3 linked regions of the Lonchura striata genome follow. The protein of the gene in region 2 binds, or shares a complex with, the protein of the main gene of each other region. Links are inferred from orthologs where the notes say so. Each region holds a gene or a part of one and is shown on either strand. Other genes may lie near its edges. The genes, in order: MCM2, SUPT16H and SSRP1.

Region 1 (7,045 bases), on a different chromosome or scaffold from region 2:
GGAGCGAGCCAATCGGAAGGGTCGGGAGGCGGGACTAAGGGGGCGGGTCCGCCGCGCTTTAAAGGCGCCTTGTCCCGCACACACCCGCGGGTCACCAGCCCGGCGTGGAGCGGTGGCGGCGGGCAGGGAGGCGACCCTGGGGCCGGCGGTCTCGGCTCGGCCCGTGCAGGGCAGGTTCTGTCCTTCCAGCCCGATCCCAGCCCCGGCCCGGCTCGGTTCGGCTCTGTCCTTCCAGCCCGATCCCAGCCCGGCTCGGCCCGCACAGCCCAGCATCCCACCCGACGAGGAGCGCTCTGCCGCCCTGCTCCCACCGCCACGCTCCTAAACTCACACTGCTCCGCGGGAATTCCGTACGGCCGCTGGATGCAGGGCAGGGCGGTTAATCATTGAGGGAGATCCGATAATAAGTTCCTGCAGGGAGGGATGATTAACAACCTGTGAGTTCGGCTTTTAAGGAGAGTTCAAAGCTGGCTGAAGAAACTTGAAGTAGCTTGGACAACAGCTGCTAAAGGGAAACGCCATCGATAATTAGCAGGATTTTGAGGTGCAAATGCCAGACAGGCTAAAGAGACGCTCAGTATCGTAAACAAGGAAGTAACTGTGGCAAAACAGCCAAGATTTATTTAGGAAATTAAAGGAAATAACCAGCTAAGCACCGGCACGTTATTCTCAGCAGTAAGAGCTGGCGGACAGGGAAGTTTCAAGGAGGATGTTTCTTATCCGAGTCACTGCAAGGACTGGAGTTCTGAAACTCATTCTGGCATGAGTTTCTACCTGTGGCTGTAGGGTTTGCTTCTGTAGGAATGCAAGGCTTTTGCTACCCTGAAGTTTCTGTTCAGAGCCTACAACTCTTTACAAGAGCCCTACCTTGGTGAAGTTTGCATGTTCTGCTCTAGCAAACACCGTAACCAGAGGGTTCCAGGCCCTCCTCACACACAGATAGATCTTCCTCAGCTTAAATCTGCTTGATCCTCTTCTTAGGTCAAATTTTCCAGCTGCTCCTCAGCAAGCCTCATGAAGGGTTTGTACCTGGGGACTTGCCTGCCTCAGCCCTGTTCTTCTGATTTTCCACTGGGTTGGAACAGGTTTTCATGCTGGTGTCATGCCTTTGGAATGACATCTGGAGAAGCCAGTCCTTAGCTTGTCTCATTTCACACTGTCGTTCAGGTTAATGATATGTTGCAATATTTTGACACGTTCCATTTATGGATCCAAGCTGACACCAAGATCTCTGAGTTACAGAAAGGACAATTCTGTTTAGAGAGAGGTGGAGTGTTTCTGCCTAAAAAGTGTCTTGGTAACAGACAAGTAAAATCCATGTCTTCTCACTTGTAGCCTCAGGCACTAACTAGTTGAATGTGTTACCTCCCACATAACTGTGTCAGAAGGAGAGATTTTGCTTTCCAATCCACCTGCTTTTCCCATCTGATTCCATCTGAGGCTAGAGCCCAGTATTTGGGACACCAGATCCAAAAGCTGTTTCATGGTCAGGAGACTGCTGGGTGCCACTGCAAGGACCATGACACTTTAGCTCCTGCCTTCCTCACCTTGCTTCTGTCAAACAGGAGGTGGGGCATCCACACTTACTGTTCCTCTGAATTACCCAGCCTTGCCTGTCAGCCACCACATGGTGTGGCAAACATAACTCCCCTCTTCCCCCCTCCAAGGACTGCTCCATGTCCTTAACTCTATGCATCCTTCCTTCCATTCCAGCTGAGCACTGCTGCTCTGTGCATCATCTCCTCCATCCAGTGCTTAAAGACAGCAGGGGTCACTCCTTTGTCCTCGCTGTGCCACCTGGTGCTGCTGGGCTGAAGCAGGACAAGAGGTGATGTTCAGCAGCCTTGAAACAACCCTGGGGGCCCCACAGAAAGCTGGCACCTGTTGCTGTACCTGCTGCAGCCTGCTGTGCTGTGGCAGTCTCACCTGCCTTGCAGGCATCAGAGGTAGAAGATGCAGACATGGTGTCCAGGACAGCATTACAGTCCATGTAGTCAACAAATTCCACTCTTCTGAGACATTTTATCTCTCTCAAATACTCTTTCAGCTTTTATTAGATCAGACTACTGAACAGGATATTACTTCTCATCTGAAACTGCTGTGCTGTACAGGTGCTGTACAGGGACAGATGTGCCTGTCTTGTTTCAGAGCTGTTCTACCAGCCTACTGATTTCTAGTGTTGGGCATAAATTTGCACCACAGGATACTACCTGGACTGCACTCCTGTGTTTCTGCCCCTTTTCTTTCAAGGGGAATTCATTCACTAGGGCTATTCCTGTGCTGCAAGAAGCCACGAGTCTGCAAAATCCTAGTGGTATGTTTGGATATTCAAGAGTTTGGTACTCAGGTGAGGTCACCCCAGTGAGCAGCCTGGGCCCCATCTGCATCTCAGCCCTTTCACATACCCAGTCCATGTCTCTAGTGTAGTAGAAGGAGCCCTGTTCCATACATGGCAGCAACCTGATTTTAGGGGTGGTTTCTGCTGCCCAAGCTCAGCTCTTGTCAAAGAGACAGAGCACCCCAGCTCAAGAATAGGACCACTTGTAGGTGGCACCCAAAGTTAGCCGTGAAAACATGGACGTGGTGTGTGTTCTTCCAGGAAGGACAGACAGAAAATCTGTCTGTCTATCCAGCTGTCTGGTGCCTGGAGAGACAGTGGCACCCTGTGGTGACACTGGCTCATCACAGTGTGTCATCTGGGCCTTGTCAGACAGCTCCACCTCAGCCAGGTCTCGGGCTACCTTCCCTTAAGCCATAGAATCATTTGGGTTGGAAGACTGGACATTAGGAAAGAATTCTTCATTGGAATGGTGCTCAAGCATTGAATAGGCTTCCCAATGAGGTGGTGGATTCGCTGTCCCTGGAAGTGTTCCAAAACCATGGAGATGTGATGTTTAGAGACATGTTTTAGTGGTGGACTTGGCAGGGCTGGATTAACAGCTGGACTCCATGACCTTGAGGATCTTTTCCAACCTTCATGGTTCTGTGATTTTGTGACCTCTAAGATCATCAAGCCCACGGTGGTCTCTGGAAACCTACAAGTGGGGGCATCCTGGGGGTGTCTCTGTGTTTGTTTCGCTCCAAGCACCAGCCAGATCCCTGTCATGTGTCACAGAGAAGAGGCTGAGCCACTCTCCTATTTATATCATGATGCTCCTGCTTTGCTATATTAGTACCAGCCTGAATCATCCAGCTGGGCTCCTGGAAGATCCATTTCAGATTGTCAGCTGCCTCTTCAGTCACTTTTGCTTCTGGTGTCTCCTGTTTCAGGGTCATTGTCTCACACCCGAGTCCAGCCAAGAGCAGAAATAGCTTGATACTAAACAGTGGTCAGAGACCCTTCAGAGAATGCAGATCTCCAAAATCCAAACCACCTGCTGTCACGCAAGACCCTGTGGCCTGGAAGGAAGCATTCCATCTCCTTGCTAAACATCAGCCTGTTGCTTGTCTCTCTAAATTCCTCTGCCAATCTCTATGGGACGGGTGCTCTTCTTCAGTTCCTCTCATTAATGGCATTTGCTTGCTGCACTGAACAGCTGGAGAGACAGATGTGTCTGCCCTGTTACTTCCAGCACATAGAGGCTTGCATTAAAAAAAAAAAAAAAAAAAAAAATTAAAAACCAAACAGATAAACAAACCCACCCCCCCAAAACCACAAAATGCCAGAACCTCCTTCCCACGTCTTGTAGTTCCAGCGAGAATCAGAACAAAGATGATTGAACGGGTCAGTGGCAAACCCTGTCCAGCAAGGCTTGATTTTAGCTCCCAAAGAGGCAGCCGTGAGCACGGGAATTCACGGCGGGATCTCTCCCGTCACTCGGGTTCGCGGGAGGAGGAGATCCCTCAAGCCCAGAGGGAAATGTTTGCCAAAGTTTGCCAGTGCCGCCCGAGCCCCCTTGGTCGCTGTGGGTGGCGGGGGGTGGCGCTGGGTCCCGCCCCCGCTCATGCATATTCACAATCAGGCCCGCCCCTGTATCCATTATTCATGAGGTTTCGCGCGCTTTCGGGACCACGTGGTTTGGTTTTCGCGCGGAATCGGCGGCGCGGGAAGCGGCGGCCATGGCGGTGAGTGGCCGTGCCGGGCCGGGCCGAGCTGGGCTAGGCTAGGCTAGGCTAGGGGAGGGGAGCCGTTCATTTGGGGTGCAGCCCCGCGGTGCGGGGCTCGGGTTCTCCCCGCTGCCGGACACTTGGCGCTGCGGCTGTGCGGGGTCCAGAGAGGATTTTGAGTGGGGGGGCACAGTGGGGGCGCGCCTGGCGGTTCTCCCGAAACGCCGAGGGAATTTTCCTGCATGCCCGGCGCCGCAGAGGAGAGAGCCGGGGCGGGGCAGGGTCGGACCCTTTCACTCCAGTCCGGCTGCGCTGCGAGGATGGATTTACCCCCATCTCTCCCCCCCACACACAAATATGTTTCCATATTGCGAGGAGGGCTAATTATTATAACTCACGGTGATCCATATGGCAGAGGCCCCTGGAGGCACTAGCCCCGCTCTCTCCTGCGGCCCCCTGCCCTCACCTCCCTGCCGTCCTTGCAGGACTCCTCCGAGTCGCAGGCAGCGGTGACCAGCCCCGTGCGCAGCTCCCGCCGCGGCGATGCCTTCACGTCCAGCCCCGGTCGGGACCTGCCCCCCTTCGAGGATGAGTCCGAAGGGCTCCTGGGGACCGAGGGGCTCCCCGAGGAGGAGGAAGAAGGAGAAGAGCTCATTGGGGAAGGGATGGAAAGGTAAGAAAATCGTTCGGAGGGTTGTGTCCGGTGATGGGGTGCTGGGGATGGCAGTGCAGCCAGCGACCTGGAGGGAGATCTCAGGCCTTGTGGGATCCTCTGCTGTGCTGGCAGCTGTGGGGAGGGTGCTGAAGAGCTGCTGGGCAATGGAGAAAGGTAAGAGTATAATGTCACTTGAGTTCTGTGAGAACTGAGCAAAGTGCCATCATGGTCCCGGGTGGGTAAACCAGGATCTGCCTGGATGTGTGATGTGCATTCAGCCCAGCTCTTTGCTTCTGCAGGTGTGAATTTTGATGTTTTACTCAGCAAGGTCTGCCGGCAAGCTGAACTTTACCAAAGGCTTGGATGCTGACATTCCTAAGCATGGTGCTGGAGCCCGTTTACTGCAGGGCATCTTCCACTGGGAAGTGCCTTCCTGCTCAGCAGCGTTCTGTCATGCTGCAGAACAGCTGTCCTGACACCTGCCCAGGAGTAGCTGGAGAAGGGCTGCAGAATTGCTTTCCTGGCCTGATTCCCTGCTCTGTGTGTGTGTGTGCTAGGGACTATCGCCCCATCCCAGAGCTGGATGTGTACGAAGCAGAGGGCCTGGCCCTGGACGATGAAGATGTGGAGGAGCTGACTGCCAGCCAGCGGGAAGCTGCCGAGCGAGTGATGAGGCAGCGGGACCGAGAGCTGGGGCAGGGCATGGGCCGCATGAGGAGAGGGCTGCTCTACGGTAGGTGCAGGGAGCTGTACCTTCCTGTGTGCCTGATAGTAACCTGGCCCTCAGAGGGAGCTGGGCTCTCTACTCTCAGGTTAGTAGGGAGGTCTCTAGAGCTCCAGTGTGCCTGGGCTCTTAATGAAATCACTGGCTGTGGGCTTGCCTGGGTTCTCCAGTGCAGGATCCCTTTCCTTTGGGTTTCCTAGGAGCTCATTTGGTGTCCTTCTGGTCACTGCTGAAACAAATTTAGGATCTTGGGCCTGTGTCAAAGGGTTGGGATTCTACCAAGCTGTGCGGTAGAGTTTGTTGGTGTTGATGCTCCTGTACAGACTTCTGTGGGCTGATGGAAGTGTCTTCGATGCACTTTCAAACTCATTCCTTGGTCAGTGCATTAATAGACTTGAATGTGTGCTGTTGCATACAAATCTTCAAATTCACACCCTTAAAGTCTTGGCTATCTTGTGGAAGATGTAGGAGCAAGTCTAGAACTGGATTTAGGCTGGACCTGGAATGTCTCTTGGTTTGTGAGGCTGTGACCTCTTCACTTCCACAGCCTATACAGTCCCACTGTGACTAATCCATAGAGTGGGAATGGGAATCCCAGCTCTTGAGCAGTTTTTCCTCTCACCCCTTAGACAGTGATGATGAGGATGAAGACCGTCCTGCACGGAAGAGGCGGCTGGCGGAGCGTGCTGCCGAAGGCGTGGAAGAGGAGGATGAGGACATGATTGAGAGCATTGAGAACCTGGAGGACATGAAAGGGCACTCAGTGAGGGAGTGGGTTTCCATGGCAGCGCCCCGGCTTGAGATCTATCACCGCTTCAAGAACTTCCTGAAGACCCACGTGGACGACCATGGGCACAATGTCTTCAAGGAGAGGATCAGTGACATGTGCAAAGGTAGGGCTGGGTCATTGGAGGCTCTCTCTTTCTTTATGTGGGTCATGGTACTTTGTGGTGATCCAGTACAGAGGTGGATATTTTGCTGCTCTCTTTGTTCCAGACATTGAATCAGCATTTCAAGAAAGCTTGATGCTGATGGAGATAAATGAATAATGGAAACATGTCTACTGTCTTCTTTGATTCTGGCTGACTAATTAGAAGTCCCCTGGCATCTGCTCCTCATTAATATTCATTTCGTAGAAATGCTAGCAGAAGAATATGCGGGGCAGCAGACAGTGGTCTGCAAGTTTGTGATCTGAAAGAGACAACAATTGCTTGCTGTCTGCATCAGTTACTTTCTCACACTGGAAACTGCATTATCCAGCAAGGGGACACAAATAGACCTTGTGACTTTGGAAACTGTGTCAGTGTTGCAGCCTTGTATTCTGACTAGGCACTGCCAGAAGAAACGGTCATTAAGGCTGTCATTGATGAGTTTTAAAAGCAGAATTTGTCACATCTAGGAACAGCTCATGTAGCTGTACTTGTTGTATTTCTTCTTTATATTGAACAGAAGCTTGAGCAGTGGAACAGGATCAATTTTGTAAAGCTAGGAAATAAAAGGCATTTGTCTCATCCATTTCCACAAACATAAGACACAGGAGGTTTTTTGCCAACCATTCAGCATACATAATGTCTCTCCTATTAACTTCTGTTTCCTGGAGGTCTCTGAGAGAGTTGTGT
Region 2 (7,302 bases):
AAACGGCTGGGAAACACCAAAAACTGACCAAGGAAACCCAAAAAGAGACAAAGAAACCCCAAAAGAGACCAAAAAAACCCAAAAAGAAGAAAAGAAACCCCAAAATGGACCAGGAAAACCCCAAAAGGAACAAAAAAACCTCAAAATGGATCAAGGACACCCCAAAATGGACAAAAAAAACCAAAAAGGGACAAAGAAACCCAAAAATGGATCATGAAAACCCCAAAAAGGAACAAAAAACCCAAAATGGAACCAAGAAACCCCAAAAAGGAACAAAAAAACCCAAAAAGGAACAAAAAAAAACCAAAAAGGAACAAAAAACCCCAAAAAGGAACCAAGAAACCCCAAAATTAACAAAAATCCCCAAAATTTATGAGGAAAACCCCGAAAGGAACCAGACAAAAATGATGGGAAAGTCCCCAAAAGCAGGAGAGAAACCCCAAAAATGGGGGAATTTACCCCAAAATGGGGAAATTTGCCCCAAAATGGGGGATTTACCCCAAAAATAGGAAATCTAGCTAAAACTGAGAGAATTCAGCCAAAAATGGGGAAATTTATCCTAAAATGGGGGAATTTACCCCAAAAATGGGGGATTTACCCCAAAATGGGGGGGATTTATCCCAAAAATGGAGGATTTTACCCCAAAAATGGGGGATTTACTCCAAAAATGGGGGATTTATCCCAAAATTGGGGGATTTATCCCAAAATTGGGGGGATTTACCTCAAAAATGGGGGATTTACTTTAAAATTGGGAGATTTACCCAAAAAATGGGGGATTTATCCCAAAAAATGAGAAAATTCATCCAAAATTGAGAAAATTTTCCCAAAAATGAAGGGATGCCCCTAAAAATGATAAAATTCAGCCCAAACTGGGAGAATTTGCCCAAAAATGAGAAAATGTACCCAAAAATGAAACCAAAAGGGATTTTGGGGGTTTTCTCAGGAATTTCGGGGTTTTCCTCATGATTTTGGTTTTTTTCCCAGAATTTCGGGATTTTTCACACAGATTTTGGGGTTTTCCTCACGATTTTGTTTTTTTCCCCAAGATTTCAGGATTTTTAAATTTTTCACCAACATTTTTGGAGTTTTCCTCACGAACTTCAAGTTTTTCCTCATGATTTTGTTTTTTTCCCAGGATTTTGGGATTTTACACTGAGATTTTTGGGGTTTTTCTCAGGAATTTCGGGCTTTTCCTCAGGATTTGGGTTTTTTTCCCAGAATTCAGGATTTTCCCCCCAGATTTTAGTTTATTTTCTGTTTTTTTGCCCACCTGCAGCGCCGTGGACTTGGCGTAGACGATCTCCTCGTCCACGCCCACGGCCACCACGATGGCGTCGACGCCGCCGAACTCATCCTCGCCTTTCTGTGGGGCAGGAGACCCAAAATCAGCCAAATTCACCCCAAAATCACCCCTGCAGCAGCCCCAAATTCACCCCAAAATATCCCTGCAACAACCCCGAATTTACCCCAAATTTACCCCAAAATTTCCCCAACACTGACACCGCCAAACTCATCTTTGCCTTTCTGGGGGCAGGCGACCCAAAATCACCCAAATTCACCCCAAAAATTCCCAATTGGCACCCCCAAATTCACCCAAAAAATTCCCCTGAAGCAGCCCCAAATTCACCCCAAAAATTCCTCTGCAGAAACCCCAAATTTACCCCAAAATATCCTCCATCAGCAACCCCAAATTCACCCAATTTCACCCCAAAAAATCCCCTGCAGGAACCCTGAATCCACCCAAAAAAATCCCCTACAGGAGCTCCAAATTCACCCAATTTCACCCCAAAAAATCCCCTACACCAGCCCCAAATTCACCCCCAAAAATCCCCTGCAGCAGCCCCAAATTCCACAAAATTCACCCCAAATTCACTCCAAACCCTCAACATTCCCTCAGCCCCCCCAGATTTCCCTAAACCCCCCAAATTTACCTCAAATGCCCCAAATTCACCCCAAATCCCCCGAATTCACCTCAACCCCTCCAAATTCACCCCAAAACCCCCAAATTCACCTCAAACTGCCAAAAATTTAAACCAAATTCACCCCAAAACCCCCAAACCCCCTCAGGCCCCCCAAATTTACCCCAAACCTACAAAATCCCCCTCAAATTTACCTCAAACTCCCTAAATTTACCCCAAACCCCCCAAATTCACCCCAAACCCCCTAAATTCCCCTCAAACCCCCCAAATCCCACAAATTCATCCCAAATCCCCCTCAAGCCCCCCAAATTTACCCCAAACCACCCAAATCCCCCAAATTTACCCCAAACCCCCCAAATTTACCCCAAACCCCCCAAGTTTCCCTCAAACCCCCTCAAATCTCCCAAATTTCCCTCAAATCCCCCAAATTTCCCTCAACCCCCCCTCAAACCCCCCAAATTTACCCCAAACCCCCCAAATCCACCCCAAATCCCCCTCAAATCCCCCAAATTTCCCTCAAATCCCCCAAATTTCCCTCAAATCCCCCAAATTCCCCTCAAACCCCCTGAAATCCCCCAAATTCCCCTCAAATCCCCCTCAAAGCCCCCAAATTCACCTCAAATCCCCCAAATTTCCCTCAACCCCCCCAAATTTACCCCAAACCCCCCAAATCCCCCTGAAATCCCCCAAGTTTCCCTCAACCCCCCCTCAAACTCCCCAAATTTACCCCCAAACCCCCTCAAACGCCCCAAATTTACCCCAAACCCCCCAAATCCACCCCAAATCCCCCCCAAACCCCCCAAGTTCCCCCCAAACCCCCTCAAACCGCCCAAATCCCCCTGAAATCCCCCAAGTTCCCCTCAAACCCCCCAAATTTCTCTCAAAGCCCCTGAAATCCCCCAAGTTCCCCTCAAACCCCCCCAAATTCCCCTCAAACCGCCCAAATCCCCCTGAAATCCCCCAAGTTCCCCCCAACCCCCCCCCAGCCCCCTCCCCCCGCCCCTCCCCCACCTGCCAGCTGGCGTAGAGCCGCCGCAGCCGCCGCGCGAAGGCCTCGCGGTCCAGGCTCAGCGCCATCAGCGGCCCGGCCGCGGCCCCGCCGGAGCCGGGCGGGGAACCGCCGGGGCGGGGCGGGACCTTCCTCCGCTCGGCCGCCTCCTCCTCCTCCTCCTCCTCCTCCTCCTCCTCCGCCGCCGCCGCTGCCGCTGCCGCCCGTGCCGCGCCGCGGCGCCCGCCGGAAGCGCCGCCTGAGGCGACTTCCGCTTCCGGTGCGCGCGCGAAGGGCGGGAGGCGGAGGAGGAGACGGTGAGGGAGGGGAAAAGAGCGGCCGGGGAGGGGAAAGGGGGAGTTTGGATGAGAAAAAGGAGGAGGAAAATGGGGGGAAAGGGGAAAAAACACACAAAAAAACAAACAAAAAAACAAACAAATGCGGGTGAAATCGGTGAGGGGGGGGAAAAGGAACGGGGGGTCACGTGACGGCGGAGAGGCGGGAAAAGGGGAGCGCGGGGCGCCGGCGTCACGTGACCGCCCCCCCCTCGCGCCTGCGGAGGGGAAAAGGCGGGAAAAGGGGCGGGGCCAGAGGGGTCACGTGATGGGGAGGGAGAAATGGAGGAGGAGAAATGGAGGAGAGGGAGAGAAATGGAGAGGGAGAGAAATGGAGAGGGAGAGAAATGGGGAGGGAGAGAGAGATGGGGAGGGAGAGAGAGATGGGGAGGGAGAGAGAGATGGGGAGGGAGAGGAGCGGAAAGGAAATGGGGAGAGGGAGATGGAGACAGAAATGGAGAGGGAGAGGAAAGGGAGGGAGAAATGGAGAGGGAGAGAGGGAGATGGAGGAGGAGAGAGTGAGGGAGAGAAATGGAGAGGGAGATGGGGAGGGAGATGGAGGGGAAAGGAAATGAGGGAGATGGAGACAGAGAGAAATGGAGAGGGAGAGAGGGAGATGGAGGAGGAGAGAGTGAGGGAGAGAAATGGAGAGGGAGATGGGGAGGGAGATGGAGGGGAAAGGAAATGAGGGAGATGGAGACAGAGAGAGAAATGGAGAGGGAGAGGAAATGGAGAGGGAGGGAGGGGAGGGGAAAGGAAATGGAGAGAGGGAGATGGAGAGGGAGGAGGAGAGAGGGAGAGGGAGATGGAGAGAGGAAAATGGAGGGGGAGATGGAGGAGGAGGGAGATGGAGAGGGAGAGAAAGGAGGGAAATGGAGATGGGAAGAGGGAGATGGAGACAGGGAGAGATGGAAATGGGAGATGGAGGAGGAGGAGAGGGAGAGAAATGGAGAGGGAGATGGAGAAGGAAATAGGGAGAGGGAGGGAGATGGAGGGGGAGAGGACAGAGAGCACCAAAACGAGGCAAAAATACAGAAAAAACAGAAAAAAATACCCAAAGGAAAAAAAGAAAAAAAAAAACCCAAAAAAGAAACAAAAGAAAAACAAAAAACACCAAATAAAAAATAACCAAACAAAATGGAAGAAAAAAGCCCGAGAAAAGTTTTTAAGAAACCCCAAGGAAGTAAAAAAAATGAAAAAAAAAAAAAACTATGAAAATTTAAAAGGATGAGAAAAAATGTAAAAAGCCTTAAGAAATGTGGAAAGATGAGAAAAAACAAAAAGGCCTGAAAAAAATTAACAAAAAACACCCCCCAAAAAAAACCCCAGCAAACAAAAAAAACACCTTTAAAAAAACCCAAAATAACAAAAACAAAAAAAGGAAAAAAAGCAAAACCCCTCCAAAAAATTAAAAAAGAAAACAAAAAAAAAAAACCACCAAAAAATTCTTTAAAAACTCCGAAAAACACCAAAAAATACCCACAAAAAAAAATTTAAAAAACCCCCAAAAAACGTAAAAAACTGAAAAAACGCCAAAAAAAAAGAAAAAAAAACCCTCTAAAAAAATTTACAAAAAAACCCAAAAAAACCCCAGCAAACAAACAAAAAAAACCTTGAACCCCCTCTCCAAAAAAAAACCTCACAAAAAACTGGGACAAAAAAAACCAACAAAAAAAACTCTGAAAAATTTTATAAAAAACCCCAAAACCCCCAAAAAACCCAAAAAAATAAACCGGAAAAAAAAAACTAAAAACCAAAGCAAGAAAAAAACAAAGCAGGAAAATCCTGAGGGGGAGACGTGAGAGCGGGGATCGTTAATTACCAATTAATTCATTAATTAATTGGGGTGGCTATCGGGGGGCGGGACAAACGAAGGGAGGCCAGGGAGGAGATTAATTAATGAGGAGGTTAATGAGAAGGGTAATGAGGAGCTTAATTAATGAGGAGGTTAATGAGAAGGGTAATGAGGAGGTTAATAAGGAGGTTAATTAATGAGGAGGTTAATAAAGAGGTTAATTAATGAGGAGGGTAATGAGGAGGTTAAAGAATGAGGAGGTTAATTAGGGGGGTAATGAGGAGGGTAATTAATGAGGAGGTTAATTAATGAGGAGAGTAATAAGGAGGGAAATGAGGAAGTTAATGAAGTTAATTAATGATGAGGGTAATTAGGAGGTTAATGGGGAGATTAATGAGAAACGTAATGAGGTTAATGAGGAGGTTAATTAATGAGGGTAATGAGGAGGTTAATTAGGAGGTTAATTAATGAGGAGGGTAATGAGGAGGTTCATTAACGAGGAGGGTAATGAGTCGGTTCATTAATGAGGAGGGTAATGAGGAGGTTAATTAATGAGGAGGGTAATGAGATAGTTAATTAAGAGGTTAATTAACGAGGAGGGTAATGAGAAGGGTAATGAGGTGGTTAATGAGGAGGGTAATTAACAAGGAGGGTAATGAGGAGGTGAATTAACGAGGAGGTTAATTAACAAGGAGGGTAATGAGGAGGTGAATTAACGAGGAGGTTAATTAACAAGGAGGGTAGTGAGGAGGTGAATTAATGAAGAGGTTAATGAGGAGGGTAATTAATGAGGAGGGTAATTAACGAGGGTAATGAGGAGGGTAATTAATGAGGGTAATTAACAAGGAGGGTAATGAGGAGGTTAATGAGGTTAATTAATGACGAGGTTAATGAGGAGGGTAATTAATGAGGGTAATTAACAAGGAGGGTAATGAGGAGGTGAATTAACGAGGAGGTGAATTAATGAAGAGGTTAATGAGGAGGGTAATTAATGAGGAGGTTAATTAACGAGGAGGTTAATGAGGAGGGTAATTAACGAGGAGGGTAATTAACGAGGAGGGTAATGAGGAGGGTAATTAATGAGGAGGGTAATTAACAAGGAGGGTAATGAGGAGGTGAATTAACGAGGAGGTGAATTAATGAAGAGGTTAATGAGGAGGGTAATTAACGAGGAGGGTAATTAACGAGGAGGGTAATGAGGAGGTGAATTAATGAAGAGGTTAATGAGGAGGGTAATTAATGAGGAGGGTAATTAACGAGGAGGGTAATGAGGAGGGTAATTAATGAGGAGGGTAATTAACGAGGAGGGTAATGAGGAGGTTAATGAGGTTAATTAATGACGAGGTTAATGAGGAGGGTAATTAATGAGGAGGGTAATTAACAAGGAGGGTAATGAGGAGGTGAATTAACGAGGAGGGTAATTAACGAGGAGGTTAATGAGGAGGGTAATTAACGAGGAGGGTAATTAACGAGGAGGGTAATGAGGAGGGTAATTAATGAGGAGGGTAATTAGGAGGGTAATTAACGAGGAGAGTAATTAACAAGGAGGGTAATGAGGAGGGTAATTAACGAGGAGGTTAATTAACAAGGAGGGTAATGAGGAGGGTAATTAACGAGGAGGCTAATTAACAAGGAGGTTAATAAGGAGGCTCATTAATGACGAGGTTACCGCCGCCGTTACCTAACGAGCAGTCCAGCTAATTACCGTTTAATTAGGCACCAGAGCACGCCCCGCTGCGTTTCCAACCTTTTATTAAAAAACAACCCCCGAAGCCCCGCCCCCGGCCCCGCCCCACGACACAGACACTTTACATATTTATAAATATTCATCAGGGGGCGGGGCTACTCCGAGTCCGAGGCGGGCGCCAGCATGGGGTCGGCCAGCAGGGGGCAGCAAGCACTTCCGGTCTGCCCCGCCGCCTCTTCCGGCGCCGGCCGGAAGTGAGGGGGCGTGGCCAGCGCCGCCGGGGCCACGCCCCCCATGAGCGCCGCCATCTTGGAGAGGTCCAGGGCTGGGGGCGGGGCGGGCAGGCACTGGGGGGAAAGTAATTAGAGCCGGGAGTTAATGAGCTGGCCGTGGAAAATAGTTCAGTTCCTAATTAGGATGGGTCATTAGTGAATTGGAAATTGAAAAATGTTAAATTGGGAGTTAAAATGGGTAATTAGGGAATTGGAAATTGAAAATAGATAAATTCCTAATTAGGATGGGTAATTAGTGAATTCGTAATTGAGAATAGTTCAGTTCTTAATTAGAGCCGGGAGTTA
Region 3 (6,902 bases), on a different chromosome or scaffold from region 2:
TGCACGGGGGGCTTGTGCACGTAGATGAAGCCCCTCTCCAGCGGGTACAACAGCCCTGAGCTGGCCTTGTAGGAGCAGGTGATGCACTGGGCTCCGGAGTGTCTGCAGGACAAACGCTTCTATCCATGGGGACAAACATCCTCCCCGTGCCCAGCCCTGGCAGACTGGCCCTGCTCCCCAGCACAAATCACACAGACAGCCCCTTCCCTCAGGCCATGAGGACGAGGTGGAAAGAGAGGGACTAGCCCTGCAGCTGCTCACCCCTGGAAGTTTCCGGGCACGGTGATCTTGCGGTTCACCAGTGCCTTCATCACCCGGCTGACCATCTCGTAGAGGGACCCGGACATGTTCTTGGTGAGCCGCCCCTCAAAGCGCTTCTCCACCTCCTCCCTGTGAGGCGGGAAGGAGGGCAGAGGTGAGAACAGGGTCTGGGGTGTAAGTAGCTCCCTCAGGATCCAGCAAGGGGTCTGGGAAGCAGTGTGGCATCAGGCAGCTCACTCATTCATGTTGAGGGTCAGGGAGATGTCCTCATCCTTGGAGAAGAGCAGGATCAGGAAGTGGTAGCGGGTCTGGCCTTGCTTTATCGGGGGGTCCAGGCTGATCTGGAAAGAGAAGAGGAGGTGAAGACACGAAACCCCCCAAACCACCCCCAATGCCCTTCTGGGGGAGGGCTGAGCCATTCCCACTCACCACGAAGAACATCTGGCGCTGGTCCTTGTGCGGGAGCAGGAAGAGGCGCAGCACGGTGGTGTAGGGGATCTTGTAGTCGAAGGTCTTGCCGTGCAGGTGCAGGAAGGTGGGGTAGATGCGGATGTCGTAGCGCCCGCGCGGCGTCAGACACTGCAGCTCCCGGAAGATGCAGATGGCGTCTCCGGTGGCCTGGATCACGTCCGCCTTGGACAGCACGTTCTGGGCGAAGGCCTGCCAGGGAAGCGGTCACAAAGGGTCCCTCGCTGCCAACCCCCACCCTCCTGCCGGCCCCACGTACCTCCACGGGGTCCACACCATCCTCCTGGGTGGGGGGCACGTAGAACCGGACCTCCATGAGTGAGACCTCGGCGTCATCGTTCTGGTGGAACTCCAGCGTCACCTCGTTCTTGCCTGTGGTGCACTGGGACACGTTGCTGAGCGGGATCTCGAACACCGGCTGCTCCCCGATGTCGAAGGACAGCAGCTGCCCTGTGGGGACAGGGACATCACAGCCAGCCCAGAGCTGTGCCCCACAAATCCCATCTCCAGCCACGGCCTCGCTCCTCTCCCAAAATCCAGCAGTGCCTCTGTTCTCATCACTGCATTCCCACCCTCCAAAAGCTCCAGGCTTTCTCCCTTCCAGCAGCATCCCTGGAAATTGGCACCGATCAGAAACACAAAAAAAGGAACTGTCTGACCCCATCTGTCCCGGTCCCTTAGCTGGAGGCACATCCGCCAGCTCCCCTGGCTCCCTGGTGAACGGCACACATGTGCAGATTCCACACCAAGCATGGCCCCCTGGTATTCAGGGCTCTCCTGAGATGGCAAATGTCCTCACTTTCCCTGAGGACATCCCTAGAAAGCAGCTGCTCCTAAGGGAATGGATGTGGCAGCAGAACAGCCACACACTGGTGGGAACATCCCACCCCACGCCTTTGGGGTGCCACTGGAACTCACCTCCAAACCTCACTGTGCCCCAGTTCCAGCCCTTCACACACAGATCCTTCTCTGCGAGCTCCAGGCAATAGTGGGCCTTGAAGAAATCTGACAGCTTGTCAAATTCCTGGGTTGGGCAAGAGGGAGGCAACACCGTCAGGAACCAGCAGTGCCCAGTGCCCCAGGTGACACACAGCCCCTGGCCATGGGGATGCAGGGGGCAGGGCTGTTCTGGGGCTGGCAGGGAGCACAACTGGATCTGGAACAGGGCCAGGGCAGCAGGAGCAGGGAACAGGGACTCACCGACTCCCGGAACCCGTCATACTTGTAGACGTGGCCGTTCTTGGTGAGCAGCTTGAGGCCGTGGCCCAGTGCCACGCGCCGCCACACACCCTCAGCCAGCTCTGAGGCCTGGATGTTGTCCACCTTCCCTGTCTTGCTGTTCTTGAAGATGACGCCCTGCCGGCTCAGCCGCAGCCGCCCATCATTCTGTGGGAGAGCTGGGCATGAGGGGACTCAGTCCCATGGAAGCATAGAGGAACCATGGCCCTGTTGGGTGCGCCCCTCCAGGCACCCACACCACCAACCAGCCACAATTTCATCTCCCACACCCTCCTCATCACAGAGCATTCACTTCCCCCATCCACACCCAACGCTGGAAGTGCCCCTAGGGCCATCCCCATGTTCTCTCGCTTACCATGGAGCCCTTCACCTCCTGGTAGATCTCGTTGAACTCCAGCGTATCAGCCATGGCGGCTGCGGGCTATGGGAGGGGACGGGGATGAGTCGGGGGGTTCAGCAGCCCCCCGAGCCCGGCATGCCCGGGGCAACGGCAGAGGAGTCAGTCACGGCAGCTGCGGGAGGACAGGGGGTGAGCCGGGCTGGCGACAGGCTCCCGGCCCTCCCCAGCGCCCCCAAAACCAAACCTCACCGCCTCAGCCCCGCAGGCTGCCTCTCGTGGTGGCACCTGGCTCACTGACGGGGGCGACCCCCGGCACAACTCGCCCCTTCCCCGGCTGTGCCGTGGTCCCAAAGCCGCCCCTTCCTGCAGCCCTCGGCCACCGCTGTGTCATCACCCCTGCCCTTCCCCTCCCTGATGAGGCCACCCCAAACCACCCCCGCACCCACAAACTCCTGCCGAGCCGGGGCTCCCAGGCGTTCCCGGGCCTCCCCAGCGACCCCCAGCCCACTTCCACCCCAGGCCGCTCCCCCATCCCAGCCGGCCTGCCATGACTCCGGGTGCCCCAGCCGGCCCCGAGCCCCGGTACACCCACCCGGCCCCCCGCGGGATCCGGCCGGCCCCGAGCCCCGGTACACCCACCCGGCCCCCCCGCGCCGCCGCCGCCGCCGCCGCTTTTCCCGCCTGCGCAGCGCGAACCGCGCGGGGCCGCCAACGCCGGAAGTCGCGCGGGTTTCCGCCATGGCGCCGGGCCGCGCTGGCGCCCCCTGGCGGCGGGGCGGACCCGTGCGGCGCTCCCCGCCGCGCCGCGGGCGGCCCCGCCCACCTAGGGGGCGTGGTCACCGCGTCCGAGACCCCGCCCCTCGCCGCTTTGCCCCGCCCAGAACCAGGCGTGGGGAGAGACCCCATTGGCCAGCACGGGGCGAGCCCCGTGACGTCACCTCATGTGGGGACAACCCCCCCGCCCCAAAGCCGGGGCGCCCCAAAGTGTCGGAACCGGACAATGGGGCGGCCCAGAGCGGGGCACCCCCGGAACCCGCGCACGGGCCGCCCCCTCGCACTCCCCTCTGCAGGGGTGTCCCCCCCAAACCAGGCGTTCCCAGTTTGGGGCGCACCACCCACGTGCACCCCAATGTGGGGCTCCCCGCTGCCGGAATGTGTCCCCCCTTTGGCGCTCCCCATCACAGGCACCCCGGGGAATGTCCCCGCCTGCGCCCCTCCATCCCTCCAGGAACGGGGGAGCGACCCCTCCCGTCCCCCCGGGCCGTGCCCCCGCCCCCGGCCCCCGCCCTACCCCCGCCTCCGCCCGCCCGCACCGCCCTCGCTACCCGCACCCCTGCGGGTGCTGCCTACACCCTGCCGATACCCGCACCCTGCCCGTGCCCCTGCCGGTACCCCTGCCTGCACCCAAGCGCGCCCTGCCCTGCCCGCATCCCCCTCACTGCCCGCACCCCTGCCCTGCCCTTCCCGCATCCCACTGGGTTCCCGCAGCCCTGCCTGCCTTGCCCTGCCCGCAGCCCTGCCTTGCCCTGCCCGTAACCCCGTCTCCGGCCGCCCCCCGCGCTGCCCATGTCCCTCCCGCGGTCCAGCACCCGCTGGGTGAGCAACTTCTTCTCCTACGAGACCACCAAGTCGGTGGTGGTGAAGAGCTGGGTGGTGGGCGTCGTCAACCGCGGCGTCCAGCTCCTCATCCTCGCCTACTTCATCGGGTGAGCCCCCCTGGCAGCCGCCGGGACAACCGGCGGGCACCCCTGGGACACCCCGCCCCGGCACGTCCCCCGGGACACAACCCCGAGCCCCCTTCCCGGCACCGCGGCAGCGCCGTGACTGCCACTTGCTGCTGCAGGTGACACCGGGGGTGACAAGGGTGATGGGGGATGGCGGCGTGTGGCAGCGGGGTCACAGCGAGGGGACACCGGCCGGCGGCGCGGGGTGACGGGGTGGCCAGGGGGTGATGGAGCAGGGGACGGACGGGAGAGCGGGTGACAAAGTGTCAGTGCCGGGAATTCAGGTGTGCCGGAGCGGGTGACACGATGGGGACAGCCAGGGGAGTGTACCGGCTGACAAGGCGGGACAGAGGATATCGGTGCGGGTGACAGAAGGGGGACAGCCAGAGAGCGTGCCGGTGCGGGTGACGGGAGGGTGGCAGCGCAGGTGACATGATGGGGACAGCAAGGTGTCGTTACGGGTGACACAAGGGGGACAGCATCTCGGGTGGATGACGGGAAAGGGACAGTGTGGGTGACACCGAGCGGCAGAGAAGCCGCTCGGCCCCAGGGGATGACAGAAGGGGATGACCCGCGTTGGGGTCCCTGTCCCTGGATGCTCCCGAGGAGTGACAGCAGCCACTGGCGAGGGGATGACAAGAATCTGTCGGGGATCGGCAGCCGCTGGCGCTGACAGCTCCGGGGGCCGGGGGTCACGGGCAGGTCCGGGGGGTGCCGGGGGAGGCCGGCGGGGCCCGGGGGGTGCCGGTGGTGTCCGGGGATGGCTGTCCCCAGCGTCACCCGCGGTGCTGTCCCAGCTGGGTGTTCCTCCATGAGAAAGCGTACCAGGTGCGGGACACCGCCATCGAGTCCTCCGTGGTCACCAAGGTGAAGGGCGTGGGTCGCTACGCGGGGCAGGTGATGGACACAGCCGACTATGTCACACCCCCCCAGGTGAGGACGGGGACCGGAGGGGTCGCTGAGGGGCGCGGGGCCACCCCCGCCTCAGTTCCCCACCCCCGGGCGGGTCGTGTGACAGCGACGTCCCGCAGGGCACCTCGGTGTTCGTGGTGGTCACCAAGCAGATCCGGACCGAGGACCAGGCGCAGGGCGTGTGCCCGGAGGTGCGGAGGGGCAGGGGGCGCTCGGGGGGACCCCTCGATGAGCCCCCTGTCCGCTGACCCCCGCCCCGCAGAGCGAAGCCGCGTTCCACTGCTCGGCGGACCGGGACTGCCGGGAGCTGAGCCCGGCCACGAGCAACGGTGAGGGACCCCGGTGGGAACGGGGGCTGAGGGGGCCGAGGGACCGGGGGGAGCCACCACCAGGAGTGAGGGACCCTCGGTGGGCTCAAGGGGCTGAGGGGGGCCCGGGAAGCCGGGGGTTCAGGGTCCCAGGAGTGCCAATGGGGGTCCGGGGGTCCCAGGGGTGCTGACAGCAGTCTGGGGGTCCCAGGGGTGCTGATGGGGGTCTGGGATCTCGGGGGTGCTGGCAGAGGTGCTGACAGCAGTCCGGGGGTCCCAGGGGTGCTGACAGGGCGCTGCGTCCCCTACAACACGACCCTGCGCACCTGCGAGATCCAGGGCTGGTGCCCGCCCGAGGTGGACACCGTTGATGTGTAAGTGGGGCTGGGGGGACACGGGGAGGAGCAGGGGACATGGCCCCTGCCTGTCTTCAGCATCACCCCCCTCCTCTAGCCCCGTCATGCTGGAAGCTGAGAACTTCACCCTCCTCATCAAGAACAGCGTCCGCTTCCCGCTCTTTGGCTTTGAGAAGTGAGTGGCACAAGACACAGGGGGAACACGGCAGGACATGAGGACAAGGGATGGGGTAACACAGGGACATGGGGACAGGGGACATGAGGACACAGGCACAAGATGGTGGGGGGACATTGGGATGTGGGTCCATGAACCCCAGACTGCTGCCTGATGGCACATCCCTGCGTGTCCCCTGTGTCCCCCTGTGTCCCCAGGACCAACCTGCCACCCCCTGGCAGTGGGGTGGAGCTGGGCCGGTGTCGCTTCCACCCACAGCTGCAGCCCCTGTGCCCCATCCTGCGCCTGGGGGACGTGGCACGTCTGGCTGGGCAGGACTTCCCTGCGCTGGCTGCCACCGTGAGCGGGGACACAGGGGACATGGGAGGCACGGGGTGGGAATGGGGTGTGTGTGGGGACATAGGGGTACAAGCAGCTGGGATATAAGGGCATAGGGATATGGGGGCTGGGGACACAGAGACATGGGATGTGGGACTTGAGGACATGGGACTTGGGGACACATCCCACATGGGATGTGGGACATGGGGACATAGGATGGGGGGAATATGGGGTGATGGATGTGGACATGGAAGATGGGGACATGGGCTCGCATAACATGGGGACATGGGATGCAGGGATGAGGGATGTTGGGAACAGGACATAGGGATACGGGAAAACGGGACACTGAGTGATGATGTGGGGCTTTGACACAGGAACATGGATGGGGGTTGGGATGTGTGACACTGGGACATGGGGTGTACAGACATGGAGATTTGAGACATGAGGTGCAGGGGGATGTGGAGTTTGGGGAGACGAGAATGCGGGATGTGGGCTCATAGGACATGGAGCATAGGGCCATGGGATGCAGAACTGTGAAACTGTGGGGACTTGGTGCCGCGGGGCCAGGGTCCGTGGTGCTGATGTGGGGCTGGGGCAGGGGGGGGTGCTGGGAATCAAGATCGGGTGGGTGTGTGACCTGGACCGGGCCTGGGAGCGCTGCCTGCCCCACTACTCCTTCACCCGCCTGGACAGCCTGGCCCGGACCCCTGCCCCTGGATACAACTTCAGGTATGGCCAGGACACGGCACAGGCATGTGCACTGCCTGGCATGGCTCCTGTCCCCATGTCCCTGTGTCCCCA

The links.
Region 1: the proteins of SUPT16H (region 2) and MCM2 are in contact, whole or in part, in a crystal structure (PDB 8YJF), measured with the Homo sapiens proteins. The link is inferred for Lonchura striata from reciprocal best matches to the Homo sapiens genes SUPT16H and MCM2. Residues at the interface, in NP_009123.1 of Homo sapiens: Gln898, Ser899, Leu900, Asn901, Lys904; in NP_004517.2 of Homo sapiens: Ile73, Gly74, Asp75, Met77, Tyr81.
Region 3: SUPT16H (region 2) and SSRP1 share a complex: the UniProt entries of both Homo sapiens proteins name them as parts of the FACT complex. The link is inferred for Lonchura striata from reciprocal best matches to the Homo sapiens genes SUPT16H and SSRP1.

The regions. Positions count from the first base shown.
Region 1 is NC_134614.1:13,489,429-13,496,473, reverse strand, and holds the start of MCM2 (DNA replication licensing factor MCM2), read left to right. Parts: upstream 1-4,010; 5' UTR 4,011-4,059; coding exon 4,060-4,065; intron 4,066-4,532; coding exon 4,533-4,720; intron 4,721-5,259; coding exon 5,260-5,435; intron 5,436-6,055; coding exon 6,056-6,319; intron 6,320-7,045. UniProt on the Homo sapiens protein: Acts as a component of the MCM2-7 complex (MCM complex) which is the replicative helicase essential for 'once per cell cycle' DNA replication initiation and elongation in eukaryotic cells.
Region 2 is NC_134641.1:1,210,489-1,217,790, forward strand, and holds the start of SUPT16H (FACT complex subunit SPT16), read right to left. Parts: upstream 3,047-7,302; 5' UTR 2,997-3,046; coding exon 2,931-2,996; intron 1,364-2,930; coding exon 1,271-1,363; intron 1-1,270. Other genes in the region: chromodomain-helicase-DNA-binding protein 8, read right to left, coding at 6,880-7,071. UniProt on the Homo sapiens protein: Component of the FACT complex, a general chromatin factor that acts to reorganize nucleosomes. The FACT complex is involved in multiple processes that require DNA as a template such as mRNA elongation, DNA replication and DNA repair.
Region 3 is NC_134608.1:53,181,406-53,188,307, forward strand, and holds the start of SSRP1 (FACT complex subunit SSRP1), read right to left. Parts: upstream 3,034-6,902; 5' UTR 2,948-3,033; intron 2,481-2,947; 5' UTR 2,378-2,480; coding exon 2,324-2,377; intron 2,116-2,323; coding exon 1,930-2,115; intron 1,754-1,929; coding exon 1,648-1,753; intron 1,180-1,647; coding exon 989-1,179; intron 922-988; coding exon 691-921; intron 603-690; coding exon 499-602; intron 391-498; coding exon 262-390; intron 103-261; coding exon 1-102. Other genes in the region: P2RX3 (P2X purinoceptor 3), read left to right, coding at 3,875-4,014, 4,830-4,965, 5,064-5,135, 5,207-5,273, 5,533-5,626, 5,706-5,783, 5,981-6,122, 6,700-6,830. UniProt on the Homo sapiens protein: Component of the FACT complex, a general chromatin factor that acts to reorganize nucleosomes. The FACT complex is involved in multiple processes that require DNA as a template such as mRNA elongation, DNA replication and DNA repair.